2 linked regions of the Elephas maximus indicus genome follow. The protein of the gene in region 1 purifies or fractionates together with the protein of each later gene. This does not show direct contact. Links are inferred from orthologs where the notes say so. Each region holds a gene or a part of one and is shown on either strand. Other genes may lie near its edges.

The links. Proteins that work in one complex are often made in the same cells at the same time.
Region 2: the proteins of PRMT8 (region 1) and EWSR1 purify together in Homo sapiens (affinity purification with mass spectrometry; 3 studies listed by BioGRID and IntAct, counting the BioPlex papers as one, with this or other methods). This does not show direct contact. The link is inferred for Elephas maximus indicus from reciprocal best matches to the Homo sapiens genes PRMT8 and EWSR1.

What each region holds. Positions count from the first base shown.
Region 1 is NC_064822.1:59,824,307-59,831,431, forward strand, and holds the start of PRMT8 (protein arginine N-methyltransferase 8), read left to right. Parts: upstream 1-4,110; 5' UTR 4,111-4,283; coding exon 4,284-4,358; intron 4,359-7,125. UniProt on the Homo sapiens protein: S-adenosyl-L-methionine-dependent and membrane-associated arginine methyltransferase that can both catalyze the formation of omega-N monomethylarginine (MMA) and asymmetrical dimethylarginine (aDMA) in proteins such as NIFK, myelin basic protein, histone H4, H2A and H2A/H2B dimer.
Region 2 is NC_064840.1:27,302,444-27,309,499, forward strand, and holds the start of EWSR1 (RNA-binding protein EWS), read right to left. Parts: upstream 3,010-7,056; 5' UTR 2,962-3,009; coding exon 2,949-2,961; intron 1-2,948. Other genes in the region: RHBDD3 (rhomboid domain-containing protein 3), read left to right, coding at 5,650-5,797. UniProt on the Homo sapiens protein: Binds to ssRNA containing the consensus sequence 5'-AGGUAA-3'. Might normally function as a transcriptional repressor. EWS-fusion-proteins (EFPS) may play a role in the tumorigenic process.

The DNA.
Region 1 (7,125 bases):
TATAATGTGGGGGTTCTTGTAGTTTGGGGGGTCCTTTCTGTAACTTGGAGCCCTGGTGACTCAGTGGTTAAGAGCTCAGCTGCTAACCAAAAGTTGGCAGTTTGAATCTACCAGCTGCTCCTTGGAAACCCTAAGGGGCAGTTCTACCCTGTCCTATAGGGTCATTAGGAGTCAGCATCAACTCAATGGCAACAGGTTTTGGTTTTTTCTGTAACTTAGGAATCTTCTTTCTCTGTAGATGTTTTTCTTTCCTCCAGATATCCTTATTCAATTATTCTCAAACATGACCGCCCATTGGAATAACTCAGGGATTAAAAAAAAAAAAAAAAATCCTGGTATCCAGGTTTCACTAAATCACACTCTCCAGGGGTGAAACCAAAGCATTGGTATTTTTAAAGCTCCCCAGATGATTCCCCCCGTGTGGCCAAGGCTGAGAAGCACTGCCTTATTCTTTGAACCTGGTTAACTTCTTGAGGATCATGCTGTGGAATCAGACATCTTACATCTGAATCCTGACTCTACCACTTGTACAATTCTGTTTTTGTTTTCTCACCTGGTTTGTGAAGATAATAACAGTACCTACCTGAAAGAGCTGCTTAAAGGATTAAATGAGAAAACATGTAAATCTAGAAGAGTCTCTGCGTATAATAAGCACTCTTATAAAGTTTACCACAGAGCCTAGCATATTAGTATTACACATTGCCATTGAGTCAATTCCAACTCATAATAACCCTATAGGACAGAGTAGAACTGGCCCATAGAGTTTCCAAGGAGCGCCTGGTGGATTTGAACTGCCAACCTTTTGGTCAGCAGCTATAGTACTTAACCACTATGCCACCAGGGTTTCTGAGCTTAGCATAGGGCTGAGCAAATAGTAACACAACATTTGTGCCCTTACAATGACCCAGGTTTTGTTCTAAGCACTTTACATGTACTGTTCAATGTATTTTGTTGAGTTGAAGATTTAGTCTAAGGAAAATGACATATGAAAAATATGTCATCAGGGTGTTTTTACCTGGTATGACTATTGACCAAACTACCCATTTAACTCACACCCTGATGAACTCCTTGTAGCCTCTGTCATTCCATATGCCTTCTTGACATCTATCAAACTCTCTTAAAAAGCACTTCTACAAAAGTTCCGTACATTTCAAAGTATCTAAGGTAACTTAAGGTGACTATTTCAGAGCTCATCAATGGTCAATCTTTTGTTGCCTCTTGTCAAACCTAGTGCTTACTAATGAGCTAGGTACGTAAGAGATACCCAGTAAATCCTTCGTGCAGTGACTGAAATAATCTGATATGAGACTATGCTAATATATATATATGCAAAAGAGGTAGAGAAAAACTGAATTTCAGCGAACGGGGATGTTGAGATAACAGCACTATAAAATACCTACTATGCGCTAGGCACTTTTCATGCATCATGAATTTTCACAACAACCCTATAAGGTGGGTATTCAGGTAAATCTCTTGCTTTGTAACAAGTCACCCTAACCCTTAGTCTCTTTTGAGTTATTTTGCTTGTGAATCTGTAATTAGTGGAGGCGTAGCAAGGGCAGCTTCTTTCTTCTCTGAGATGGCTCAGTAGGGGATCGGAGTATCCACTTAAAAGATAGCTCACTCATATCCTCCAGCCATTATGGAACCACTCCGGTGGCCTAGGCTTCTCACTCGCAGCTCCAGACTGGATCTGGGTTGGACAGGATAGAACAGAAAACTCTTGTCATGAGAATGCAGTTCTCTATCTCAGCCTCTCCACTCCCCATTCCAAGGGAGCCGTGTCTGTGCTTGGGGAGAAGCCAAAGCCAAGCAAAAGATTTCAACAGAGATCGGAGGAAACACACCCACTGTGGTTCTCATAGCAACATAATCACGCACAGGCAGCAGCCTATTTTGGTGGGAGCTTGTTTCATCTCCCCTCCTCCCTGGTTAGTCACAGAATGGATGCACACGCTGAAGGAGTGTGGGGTTGGGGGACAGTACTAGATGAAGAGCTGGGGAGCTGGTCGCAGATGCTTCATTAGCTTGCTTAGGGACCACAGACACATGTCCTCTCCCTGGCCTCAGGTTCCTTATCTAGAAAATGAGAGGCTTGGGCTAAAGAACTGTGAGGATCCTTTCTGCTCTGATTTTCTTTGATTGTACAAGAACTGAGATTCTTGTTTGGGGATCAGATGTCTCCCAGAATCTTTTGTCTCCAAGAAAAACTTTCAGAGAAAATGGGGTTCAAGAGGGTGAAAGTCATTCTCTAGATTCACCTCATTTATCCTCCTCCCACTTTCTGCACGTTGACAGGACGTGAAGGGGAAGGGGAAAGACCAGACATTGTCAAAGACTCTGCTCACTCACCCCTCCCCCTCCCCCCCTTCACCCCAACCCAGGTCTGTGATCTGAGGAAGGAAAAAGTTAAGGTTATTCTTTCATTTAAATTTACTCCTCCCTAACGCACAATTTTTTTTTAACGCACACACATACACACACACACACACACTTTCATTAACTCAGTCACTCAAGCCTCTTGTCTCCTCCTATTTTCACTCTCCTCACCCTCCAGCCTCTCCTCTCTCCACCACTCACTTTCTACCTCCACACATGGCTAAGTGTCCTCTCTTTCCTCCAGCACCAGGCAATGGTGACATCTTTAGTACTGGCCATGATTCTGGCCCTTTTCTTCAATGGACTCTGGGGTTAGTTAAGGACAATCAGTTTCACACTTCCTGGCTGTCAAAGATGATGATAAAATCAAATAGGACAGGTGGGACTGACCTCTCCAAATAAGTACAGGGATGAAGTGAGGAGAGCCAGGATGCTCAGAGAGTGTCTTTTAGGTCCCTGTCCTTGCCTTGTGGCCAGAAAACTTGAAAGTGCAGCTGTCTGTTTTTGAAAGAGCCAGCCACGGGCTGGGGTCCTGCTCCCCTCCACCCCTTTGTTCTATCTCCCACCCGCCTGACAGATGGCCAGTAAGACAGAGAAAAAGTAGCTCTCAAAGTGAAGACAGTAATGCATTGTATAAAAATTCACACCCCCTGCTGCCGCCCAAACTCCCTTAAAAAAGGATCAAGAGAATCCTAATGGGTACGTGACATCTTTCCTCTCTTCCCATAAAAGGAACTCCAAAATCTGGTGATGATAGGGGAGGGTGAGGAGGGAAAAGAAAACTGTGTGGGCAGGGGGCTGCCTGGACAGACTGGGGTGGAGGGAGCACCACTGCAGGTGGGCACTCAAGAGTCCTCCATTTACCTTTCTCCTACCTTAACCTGAGAGGGGCTTGGAGCTCCCTGTGCCTTGGACAGGGGAGAGTGGGAGAAATGGAATGATACCGATCCTACACTTAGCCCCAGAGTTGAAGGAGTTAATGACCCTCCCCTAGCCAGACACCCACCCCTTCGCTCCCCAAACCGTAATTTGCCAAGGAAGGACCCAGGAATTGGCAGAGGAGAGGGAGAGTTCGGGGTGGGGTGGGGTGGGGTGGGGAGGGGTGGGGGCGAGGTTACAGTGGCCCGGCCTTGCCTAGAGCTCGCCCTCGGTGGGAGGACGCACGCTCGGGTGTAAGGACCTACAGGAAGAGCCTGGCCCCGGCTCCTGCTTTCTCCCAGGCTCTCGCGTGGCCCTGCAGCGCCCGCGCAGTCCTTGCCCCCGCGCAAGTTTTCCATAGCGCCGCTGAGTGGAGACGGCCAAGAGACCCCCGGAGCCTGGGGGAGGGGGGCGGTCCTGGGGGCGCTGGGGCCCTCGGTCTGCGCCCAGCCACCGCCTGCTCTGCCGAACCTCCTACCCCGCCCCCACTCACCCGGCTCAGCCCCTAGGAGAGACGCGCAGGAAGCGTGTTGCTTCGCCCAGCCGATCGGCAGAAGTTGAGAGGAGTTGGTGGCTGCCTCGGGCCGGCCGGACTTTGAGAGCCGCCGAGAGAGGAGAAGCCGCCGCCGCCGCTGCCGCCGCCGCCGCCGCCGCCGCGGAGCCTTGGGGGCCGCCTCGCTCCTGCTTAGCCCGCAGCGCGGGAGGAGAGAGGGGCGGGGAGGGGGTCGGGGTGCGCGAGAAGAACTTGAAAGTGTGTGAAGGAATCCGAAACAGATGAGAAGGGAGGAAAATAAAACAAAGTGGAGACTGCAGAAAAGACTCAACCGTGGTTGATTGTATCGCCTGACGCTCCAGCAGAGGGGCTGGGTTGGGGTGTTTTTTTATTTTATTTTTATTTTTTTTCCCATTCTCTCTCTCTTTTTTAAAGCTACACCAGCTCTCTCTTTCTCTACTATCTCTGTATCACCAAACCCTTGCTGGCTCTTATGGGCATGAAACACTCCTCCCGCTGCCTGCTCCTAAGGAGGAAAATGGCGGAGAACGCTGCCGAGAACACCGAGGTAAGGAGGCGAGAGAGCCGGGGCTCTCCGCGACCCCGGCCGCCCACCCGGGACCACCGCGCGCCGTCGCTGTTGCTGCCGCCGCCGCCACCGCCGCCGCTGCTTAGCACCTAGTGCCAAACTTTCCACCAGCTCCATCCCGCTTGCTTCTGCCGGCCATGTGTGTGTGAGTGTGTGTGTGTGAGTGTGTGTGTGTGTGTGTTGGGGGGGAGACAGTGCATGTCTTAGGTCTCCTCCCTCTTGCAAATGCAAGAGTCGCTCTCGCCCCATCACCCTCTCCTGCCACCCGCTCCTTGCTTCTCCTTTCCCCCCAAGTCCCAAATCCTGGGCAGCCGCGCTCTCTGCCCTCTCCTCTGGGCTCCTTAGGGCTCCCGGGTCCCGGCTTTGTGCAAAGCTGGGGTGAGTGATCCTGGGGCCAGGTCTGCTCCCTGCAGTACCTTGACCGTCTCCTGCCGCTGTCTCAGTTTTACCCTTCAAGCTCCAGTCAGTCCCCGAGCTTTCGGTTCCCGCAGCAAGGCGGAGAGCTCCCAGTTACGGGGGCCGAGCCGAGCCGGGGGTAGGACTTGGGCACCACCAGCAGATCCTTCCCGCCCAGATCCGGGCCGGGGAGAAGTCTGCAATCCTTGGATGTTAGAGCCGCCTGGGGCGCACGGGCCGCTGCCACCTTCAGCACCAGGGACAGCACCCTTCCCTGCAGCAGCCAAGCCAGCGCAGGGAGTGGGGGCTGCGAGCCATCCACTGCAGGCAGAAATGGGTCTGCAACCACTGGTCCCACAGCAGCTATTGAGGAGGTGGCAGTAGCTCCGCAAATTGCGCTCTTGCCCCTGGACTTTGACAGTCCAATAGCTGTCGGTTCTCTACTCTTGAATTGGCCCCCAGCCTCAGAGCCCTGCTGGACTTTGCGCCCCGAGAATCAGGGTCGTGTGCCTTCGCCTTGCACTGACCCCGCTGTCATTACAACTGGACTAGTCCGTAGGCTCTGGGCACCTGTAGTCATGAAGGGGATCAGCGTGGGCAGCCCCCTTACCTTCCTGGAGAAACGGTGCGCCGAGGTGGGGGCAGAGTGGGGCATGTGTGTGAAGATCATCCCTTACTCGGTGGCAGAAAAAAGACAGAGAGCAAACTCCCGGGCTCTATTAATAGCCGGGTGTCTGGTGGGGCTGCCGTACATTTTACATACGGTTACCCATATGCAGCGTGGGGCGGGGATGGGGGTGTGGCGCGGGGATTCTCCCTCTGTCTTGCCAGAATGCAAAAAGGTGCAGAGACCCTTCCCATCTTTCTTTCCTCGTGGTCTTAACCCTGCGGCTAACCCCTACCCCACATGGGAGGCAGCAAAGCTTAAAAAAAAAAAAAAAAAACTCAGTCTAGAAGCAGCGTGCATCTGGCAACTGTCGATTTCGAAATAAACACGCTCTGGGGCTTGAGAGCAGTGGGGCATTCAGTACCTAATGCCGTCTCCTTGAGTTTGGGCACAGCCGGCGTGCGTGCAGTTCTCTCGCCACTTCCTCTTCCCCACCCCCGCCTAAGAGCAGACAGAAAGATGGTTAGTGCAAGGTGCAAAGTGCACGGGCGAAAGCCAACCTTACCGATACCCTCGCTCTCCGCCCTCTGTAGCGCACAAGCTAAAGAGGTTTCTAAAAATAGCTCAGAGTCAAGACTGCACTTCTATAAAGTGTTGGGCAAGCAGGCTCGTAGCAGTTCCTGCAGGCAGGTGGCTGGAGCCCTGGAAGAGAGAAAGAGTCTTCCCACCCCACCCTGCGCTCTATTTCTGAAAAAAAAAAAAAAAGGTTTTCATGGGTCTCTAGTCTGGGAACCCACCGCAATTGCATGGGGTCTGTGTGCAGACCTTCCCAGGTTCCGCAGTGTGCGGCGGCAGCGGCTTCGCTCCCCACCTGGGCCAGGGTTAAAGACGTCGGGGGCAGGCAGAGCGGCTCGTGCCAGGATATTTTTACTTGCTTCCCCCGCGGCTCGGCGCTCCCCCTTTTCAGCAGTTGCACATGCCAGCTCTGCTCAAGGCATCAATGAAGACAGCAGTAGAGGCGACCGAGCTCCTGTGAGCAAAAAAAAAAACCACTCCGCATGCCTGGTACAAAGGCTGCGGGGGAGGGGGTAGACCCAGCTGGGGCTCCTTGACGGGGACTGAGTTTGGGGGCTCAGTTATTAGCAACTTCCCTTGAGAGCCATGCCCAACAGAAGCATCCAGGCAGCGTGACACTCACTTGGTTTCTCTCCAGGAACCGGCTGTTTTTGGAATAAAACAGCACTAGAGCAGTATTTCCAAAGGGGAGGGGGTATTGTGAGCTAGCCTGCATTTATGGTGGGAGAGAGAGCCAAGGGCGCCTGTGTGTGTATTGGGGGAGGGCTTTGGTGATGGTGGTAGGAGTCCTTGTTCTTAATTCAACACGCCTTTATTAAGCACCAACTCTGTACCAGGAACAATTAGGTACCAGAGATCCAACCATGAGAAAGACCCTGTCTCTGCCTTCAGGGAGCTCACATGGTGTCACATAATCCTGATAACCGATATTTCCCTGACTTTGGGTGCTGTTATTTGCAAGCTCTTTTGTCGCATTTCATCCTCAAAATAATCCTGTGAGATAAGCAAAGGTTAGTATTCACTTTTTTTTTATCCCCATTTTATAGGTGAGAACACTGAGGCTGAGAGGTACAGCAATTTCTGAAAATCACCTGGTCTGTTAATGATCAAGTCAGGTTTGCAACACAGATGCCCCCACTTCAGATTCATTACTCTTTGCCCTACATT
Region 2 (7,056 bases), on another chromosome or scaffold:
TTAAAAAAAGAGCTGTTATTTTTTAAAAATTCTGCCCAATTCTTTCATCTTTCCTCTCTACTGTTTTATTCTGTGTTTGAAGATAGTACTGCCATTAGAACTGAACAAAAAGGTCCTTTTCTAATCAGAAAGTAGTCCCTCATCCAAAAACAATAGTTTATATTTCAGTTCTTCACCGAGTGGTTCTACCCTACTCTATCCAAAGCTGACCTCACAGCCCTGTCAACATTTTGCTAAACCCATCTCTTTAAGTTGGCTTATCTTTCTATCTCTCCATGCTTCACTTAGCCACTTTCTGTATGCCCTTAACTCTGAACCCTAAATCATCAAAATCAAATCAAATGCCCAAAGGCTATCGATAATACATTGCTTTGTTAAGACAACCTTAAGGCATTTGCAATAGCACAAATCACACTCTTTATGGGACATGAAAAAGTAAATGTGAACAACTTCCACGTGGCATTCACAAAATAAACATATCACCAACGAAGCATCTAAAATATTTCACTTCACATTTTGCTAATTTTTCTACGTTAGAAATTATTTTAAATCGCTGATACGTAAATTCAACGTTTGTAAGAGACCTTTTACACAACAGCAGTTATGTAAAACATAAAACTGGCAAAGCTGATAGGGAACAAATGATCTCAGATCAGTGTGAAACTAGAGGATTTAGCCCCATACTAGTGAGGCAGCTAGCATGCTTCATGAGAACTACTGTTTCATCTACCACACACAGAACTGTATGACCTCAAATATGCTTGCTACACTTACACCCTGGTCAGATTCTTTAGCAAGCAGGTGTATTTTGTTTTTAATCCCCAAATGTGCAGCTGAAGACTTCACTAAAAATACAGGACCGGCTGGGAAGGGGAAAGCGACTGTGATCCAGGGAGTTAGAGTGCTGGCAATGTTCTATTTCTTGATCTGGGAGTTTGTGTTTAATTCTTCGTTAAACTGGACATATGTTTGGGTACTTTTCTATATACCATATACATGGGGGAACATCTAAGATTACTCAAGACAGTAGCTAAACAATACTTTAGGGAGTTATTATCCAAACTGGAGAGATTCAAATATTCAGACTACATAATAAGTTATAGTCAATATAAGGCAACTCTGTGGTAGGCAATACGCTTTGCTGTAAGGTCAGCAGTTAAGGGCTCAAAAAGCCCTTTAAAGATCTAGCCTAACACCCTCATTTTGCAGGAAAGGAAACCAAGGTTGAGGTAAATTACATGACTCCCCCAAGACCCCCCCAGCCCAGTCTAATATTTTATGTACCTGCATAAACCACTACCGTAATTCTAATACAGTACAACGTGAATAAAGCTCAGTCTAATATTGCATGTATCTGCATAAACCATTACTGTAATTCTAATACAGTACAACGTGAATAACAACAGGATTTGAGCAAAACTGAAGAAGTAACATATCCAGCCACGCTGGCTCCTAAGGCTAAAGCCGTTGTTGCCCTTACAAAATTCAAACTGCAAGGAAGGGGAGGGAGGGTGGAAAGGCTATCTGTACTATGGCATTTCGGAGTCCTCCTCTGGGGGCACCTACAGCAACACTAGTCACCTGGTTACTAATCACAAAGTGGGGCAGCGCCAGAAACACATCCTTAAGTTGCTGGATCCCGGACTCTCCTCAAACTTAAACGCGAGAAGACCCACAGCTTTTCCTGTCTTTCCCTCTCATCTCCTCCCACTGCCTCTAGAAGGCAGGCCGCCTGAGAATCCCCCCAGACGCAAAAGTGCTGGCCCGTGCCACCAACCAACCGCCGGTGAGTGCACGAAGAGGCTGCCAACTGCAGGTGATCTGAAGACGACACTCTCTGGGAAATACTCCGTGCAGCAGAGACCACCTCATTCACCACATCCTGGAGTTCCCACGCTGGGCTTGCTTTCAAAGGCCTCGGTGCGTCTACCTTCCCTCTCCTCTATCAGCCCACGACTGAAACACGCCTGTCGCCCCTATGACTGCTTAAGGAGAATTCAAATGCCGGCTCGGGTCTTTTGTTCCTTTTAGGTCAAAGAGGCCAGAAATTTCTCATAGGAAGATCTCTGGCCTCGTGATCCAGGCAGGCCTTATTATACAACGGTTCTCCCTCGGCGTTGGCTGAAAAAGGGCCCAGGGAAGCGACTTACCGCTTTTAGGGAGGAGAGGTGGGGAAGTTACAAAAAAACGATGAAAATGAAGAAGGGAGGGAGCAGAGGCTTGGAGGCTCTGAATGGGGCTGAGGGGCATTCCGTCCACAGCCCAGTGCGGCCGAAGTTCGGCCTGCAGCCCGCGGAGGAGCTGGTCGGCGGCGCTGGACGCCTCCAGCCGCCCGGAGATCGAGGATGACGGGGCTCCAGCCCATAGGCCAAACGAGAGGCCGGCGCCCCTCGGCTCGCAAATCCGGGAAGCCTTTTTTGTCTGTTTGCTTTTTTTCCCCGGGCCTCTCCGAGGAGAAGAATCGCCCCTCAGGCTCGGGCCGCCTCCCGGGAAGAGAAGCGGGAATCAGTCACAGTGGCAGAGGGCCGGGGCAGTCACCCCCGCGGCCCGGGTTTCGGGGCTCCCCGCTCTAGGCCCGGCCAAGCCCCCCTCCCCCACGCGGAGCCAGGAGGCCGCAGGCCCCGCCCACGTGGCGGGCGGCCCGGCGCGCGGGGCCCGACTACCGCCACACAATGGAGGCCTCGGCGGGTCTCGCGCGCCCCCGCAGCCGCGCGCCGCCGCGAGCTCCCCACGCGCCAGGAGCGCCGGAAGGTTCCAGAACCGGCCTGCCCGGTGGGGGGAGGGGAGAGGAGCGGAGCGCGGGCACCCGAGCCCATCCGGCCGTGAAGAGTACCTCAAACCCCTCTCCACAGCTCCACTCGGTCGCCCCGGTTGCCCCCAGAGATGAGCGGTCCCCCGTTTGGGCGTCCCAACCGTCGCCACCGCGACCGCGGTTCCACCACACTCACCCGTGGACGCCATTTTCTCTCCTTCCTCCTCGTTCTCTCAACGTCCGTCTCCCTCTCGCTTTCCCCCTAGGCCCCGCACTGCGCAGGCGCGAGGTCCGCAACCTCGGGCGCTACCATCGGGCCAGGCCACGGGGGTGGGATAAGGAGGGATGAACCATCACTTTCTCGTCGTTTGCGCCCGCAACTCTTGTCCCAATCCTCTCTAAAGGGTGCTGGCTGCGAAGACGCGCGGACAAAATAGCACCGAAGGGGCTAGAGCGGCCGGTGAGTGGGTCTCAGTGTCAAACCGAAAGATTCTCAAGAAGCCAGGCTGTTAGTAATGGTTACGTCCGCTGGCTCTAGGGACCGTCTCTGAAGAGTCTACCCTGGAGGAAACGGAGGCCGGCGGGAGGGCTGGGGGAAGGGACCGGGGCCTAGAACAACTGCTGACTAATCGGCAGGCAGCGGGGAAGGGGCAGCGCAGCGGCCGGTCGGGGTCACGCGCCCGCGTGTGTGCGGATTAGGCTCGGGAGTCTGGGCCTCGGTGGGGGGTTAAAGGCCCGACTGCCAACTGGGGTCGCGCTCGGCCTCCCGGGGGTGGGGGGGCCGCACTCGCAGTGAGTACCTCAGACACGTGGCCCCGCGGCGGGGGAGGGGGCCGAGGCCGGTCAGTAGGGTGGGAGGTCCCGAACGCTGCGCCCGGCTCCGAGAACCCCCTCCCCCTGCCCCATAACGGTCGAGGTTGAGAAGGCTCATTAATCACCTGTTATCCAATAACCTGGTTTTTACAGCAGGGGAAACTGAGGTCCAAGGAGGTTGGGTACTTTGCCCAAAGTCACAAAGCTGAGTCCGACCCAGACCCAGAGATCCCCCCAACTTTTCACCACCCGGGAAGAAGCTCCCCTGCCTTTGTCTTCCCATTCTATCTTTCTAGTTTCCCAGTAAGGTACACAGGGCCTGATGGTGCACCACCCCATTTTGTAGATGAAGAAACTGAGGCCCAGAGGGTTCAAGTCCTAGTTCTGGGTGTCCTTGGGTAGGCAGGTCCTTCACGCTCCCTACAGTGCCTTGGGAGGGAGTAGTTGTGAGGGTGCAGGAAGAGGCTTGCAGTGGACCTTTGGCTGCAGACCCAGCCTCGTGGCAAAGCTGGTACCTGCAGGCCTTCCTAGAAGGGACCTCAGCAATGGCTCAGCACAGTGGGGGGCTGGGCTCACCCCAAATCCCTCGGTGGAACCAGAGCCAAGCTAGTGTCTTTCAGCAAGCACACTATGCACCTGCTGTGTGCTAGGAACACCCTGGGAAGCTTGGGGATGAGTAAGAGAAGCCCTTCCATGAGCTCAAACCACCTGCCTTAGAAGACAGACAGGCTAAGCTGAGCTTGTAATAAAGGATAAAATCTGTTGGTAAGAGGAAGGGCCAAAGGAGACATTTGAGCTGGGTTTCAAAGGGTAAATAGGAGTTTGCCTGTTGGAGGATGGAGGGAAGGACACTGCAGGCAGGGGAGCTTTCTACATTTTTCCTACTGGAAACTGGCAAGTGGGTTTTGATGCTAAGGTTGCCCTCGGCAAGGGAGCAGATGAGGCAGCCTTCTTGTCTCTCTGGGGTCCTACTTCCTGCCCTATGGGAGACTGGAGGCCCAGCCTGTATGACAAGCTGGGTAGCAGAGGGGAGAACAGGGGAGAGAAAGTCTTGCCTTGTGGAGGCAGGGAATGGACATGGTTGAGGGCCAGGGCTAAGACCAGCCAGGCCAGAACAGGGAGTCTGTTGGTGTCTATATCTGCCTTCCACAATTAGCGGGGATGGCCATGGTTTATTGAGTAGGAGCTGCAGACCAGGCCCTGCCTTAGCCCATACCTTCTTATCATCTTGTGAGGAAAAGGTTTTCTTAATCCCCATTTTACAGATGAGGAAGGAGAGGCTCAGAGGTTGGGAAGCTTGCCCAGGGACATGCAGCAGGAAGAGGCAGAGCAGGAAATCTCCGGGGGGGGGGGGGGGCGCGGGGGTTGGACAAGAGGGGTGGTGATAGGGCCCAGGTAAGAAGAGAGTGGGTGGCTCTGACCACTGGCACTTTGTATGTGTGAATGGGAAGGTGACTCCTGTTGCCCCTCCTCCAGCCCCCTGCCCCACCCCCTCCCCAATCCGTTTGTCTATTGGCTGGCCCATTTTGCAGACTCTTCCTTGCAACTCCTGCCTCTGTCAAGGGCATCCTAGGTCAGCCTGGCTGGGCCAGATGGCCTGGAGCTCAAAGGCTGGGCACAGTGGAAGGGAGGAAGGGAGCTGGCCAACTAGGGAGCTGGCCTGAGGGAAGGGAGGCCAGAGGAGGGCTGGAGATGGTTCTGAATTTGCTCTGGGGCACTGCACCCCTCTTTCTGGGAGCCCAGGGCCCCAATTCAACTTCCCTAGGCCTATGCCTCCCACCCCCAGACCCTTTTTCGGGGCCATCAGGGCTCAGGGCCCTTTGGGCCTGGCCCCTGCCATCCTTACACATGGACAGGCAGGATGGTAGAATGGCTAAGCACATGGGTTAGGGTCCAAGCTCTGCCATGGCTAAGCTGCTTGGCTTGCCTCTTCAGCCTCAGTTTCCACTTCTGTAAAATGGGGCTGTTGTTGGCAGGGTGGGTGAGAGGGAGTCAATGAAATAAAGGCTGTGACAGTAACCATTGCTATTATTCTCCTTTACCCTCAGCACACAGCCCCAGGACCACTCTTGACCACTCTCAACATGCATGCCAGGGGCCCCCCTGGCCCACTGTCCCCGGCCCTGCCTCTCACCTCTTCCACTTTGATGCTGCTGATGAGTGGCCTGTGGCTGGTCGGGGCCGGCCCCAGCCTCACCCTGGTCCCGGAACTGCTGCTGGAACCCTGGCAGGGTGAGGGCCACGTGGGGCTTGGAGGAGGCAGGAGACTTGCAGTGGGGCCGAGACCAGTCACTTGCCTTCTCTGGGCCTGTTTCGTCACCTGCAAACTAGGGGTCATATTAGCAGTTACTCTTTTATTGAACACAGTTGGATGGAGTTGCTCAAGCAGATTCCCGAGTGACTGTATTACACAAAACAATTTGATAAGCACCTATCCATCCATTCATTCATTCAATAAATATTCATCAAGTACCTACTACATATTACACATGGTTCTCAGTGAAGGGGATGCAACAACGAACAAAACAAAGGCCTTGCTCTCACGGTGCTGTCGATCTGGAAGGGGAGACCCATGAAAAAGTGACTGCCTAGTAGGTCAGGTACTGATACGCGCTGAGAAGCAGGTGACCAGAGTGGGGGGTAGAGAGTGATAGGGTGGTTCTGGAGGGTCTTTGTGATACGCGCTGAGAAGCAGGTGACCAGAGTAGGGGGTAGAGAGTGATAGGGTGGTTCTGGAGGGTCTTTGTGAGAGGGTGACATGGGGCAGAGCCCTGCAGAGACTGAGGGCGCCTGCTGGCCATACAGAGATCCCAGGAAGAGCATTCTAGGCGGGGGGACAGCAGAGTAAAGGCCCTGCGGTCAGAGAATGTTGGTGTCCTTGTGGGGCTGCAAGGAGGCCAGAATAGTGGGAGTAGAGTGACTGGGGGGATGTAGGGTCTTGAGGACTTTGGCTTTGAGTGCGGTGGGGGCCTTGGAGGGCTGTGAGCAGAGCAGTGACATGATCCGACTTGGGTTTTGATAGCCCCTCACTGCCCTACCCCCTGGCTGGGGAATAGACTGAAGGGGGTTAGGGGTGGAAGCCAGGAGCCCGGTGAGGAGGTCACAGCAAAGATCCTGGTACGAGATGATGGCCTGGACTGCGAGGCAGGGATGGCCATGGGACAGGGTGACTTTTCAGGTACATTTCGAGGACAGAGCTGACGGGCTTGGAAGCTGGTTTGAATGTTGGGGCCTGAGCAACTGGAAGGAGCCTGGAGGGAGCAGGTTTTCTGGAGAATAGAGAGTTTGGTTCTGGACATGTGAAGTGTGACAGGCCGATTAGACACCCCTGAGGCAGAGAGCGAACTGGCTTTTGGGTGTGAGTTGGATGTCTGGGTCGGAGGCAGAAATTCAGAAGGCGTCAATGTATCTGTGGCATTCGAAGCCTAGAATGGATGGGGTGGCCAAGGGGTGAGGGTAGAGATCCAGATGGCTCCTGGCATTGGTGGCAG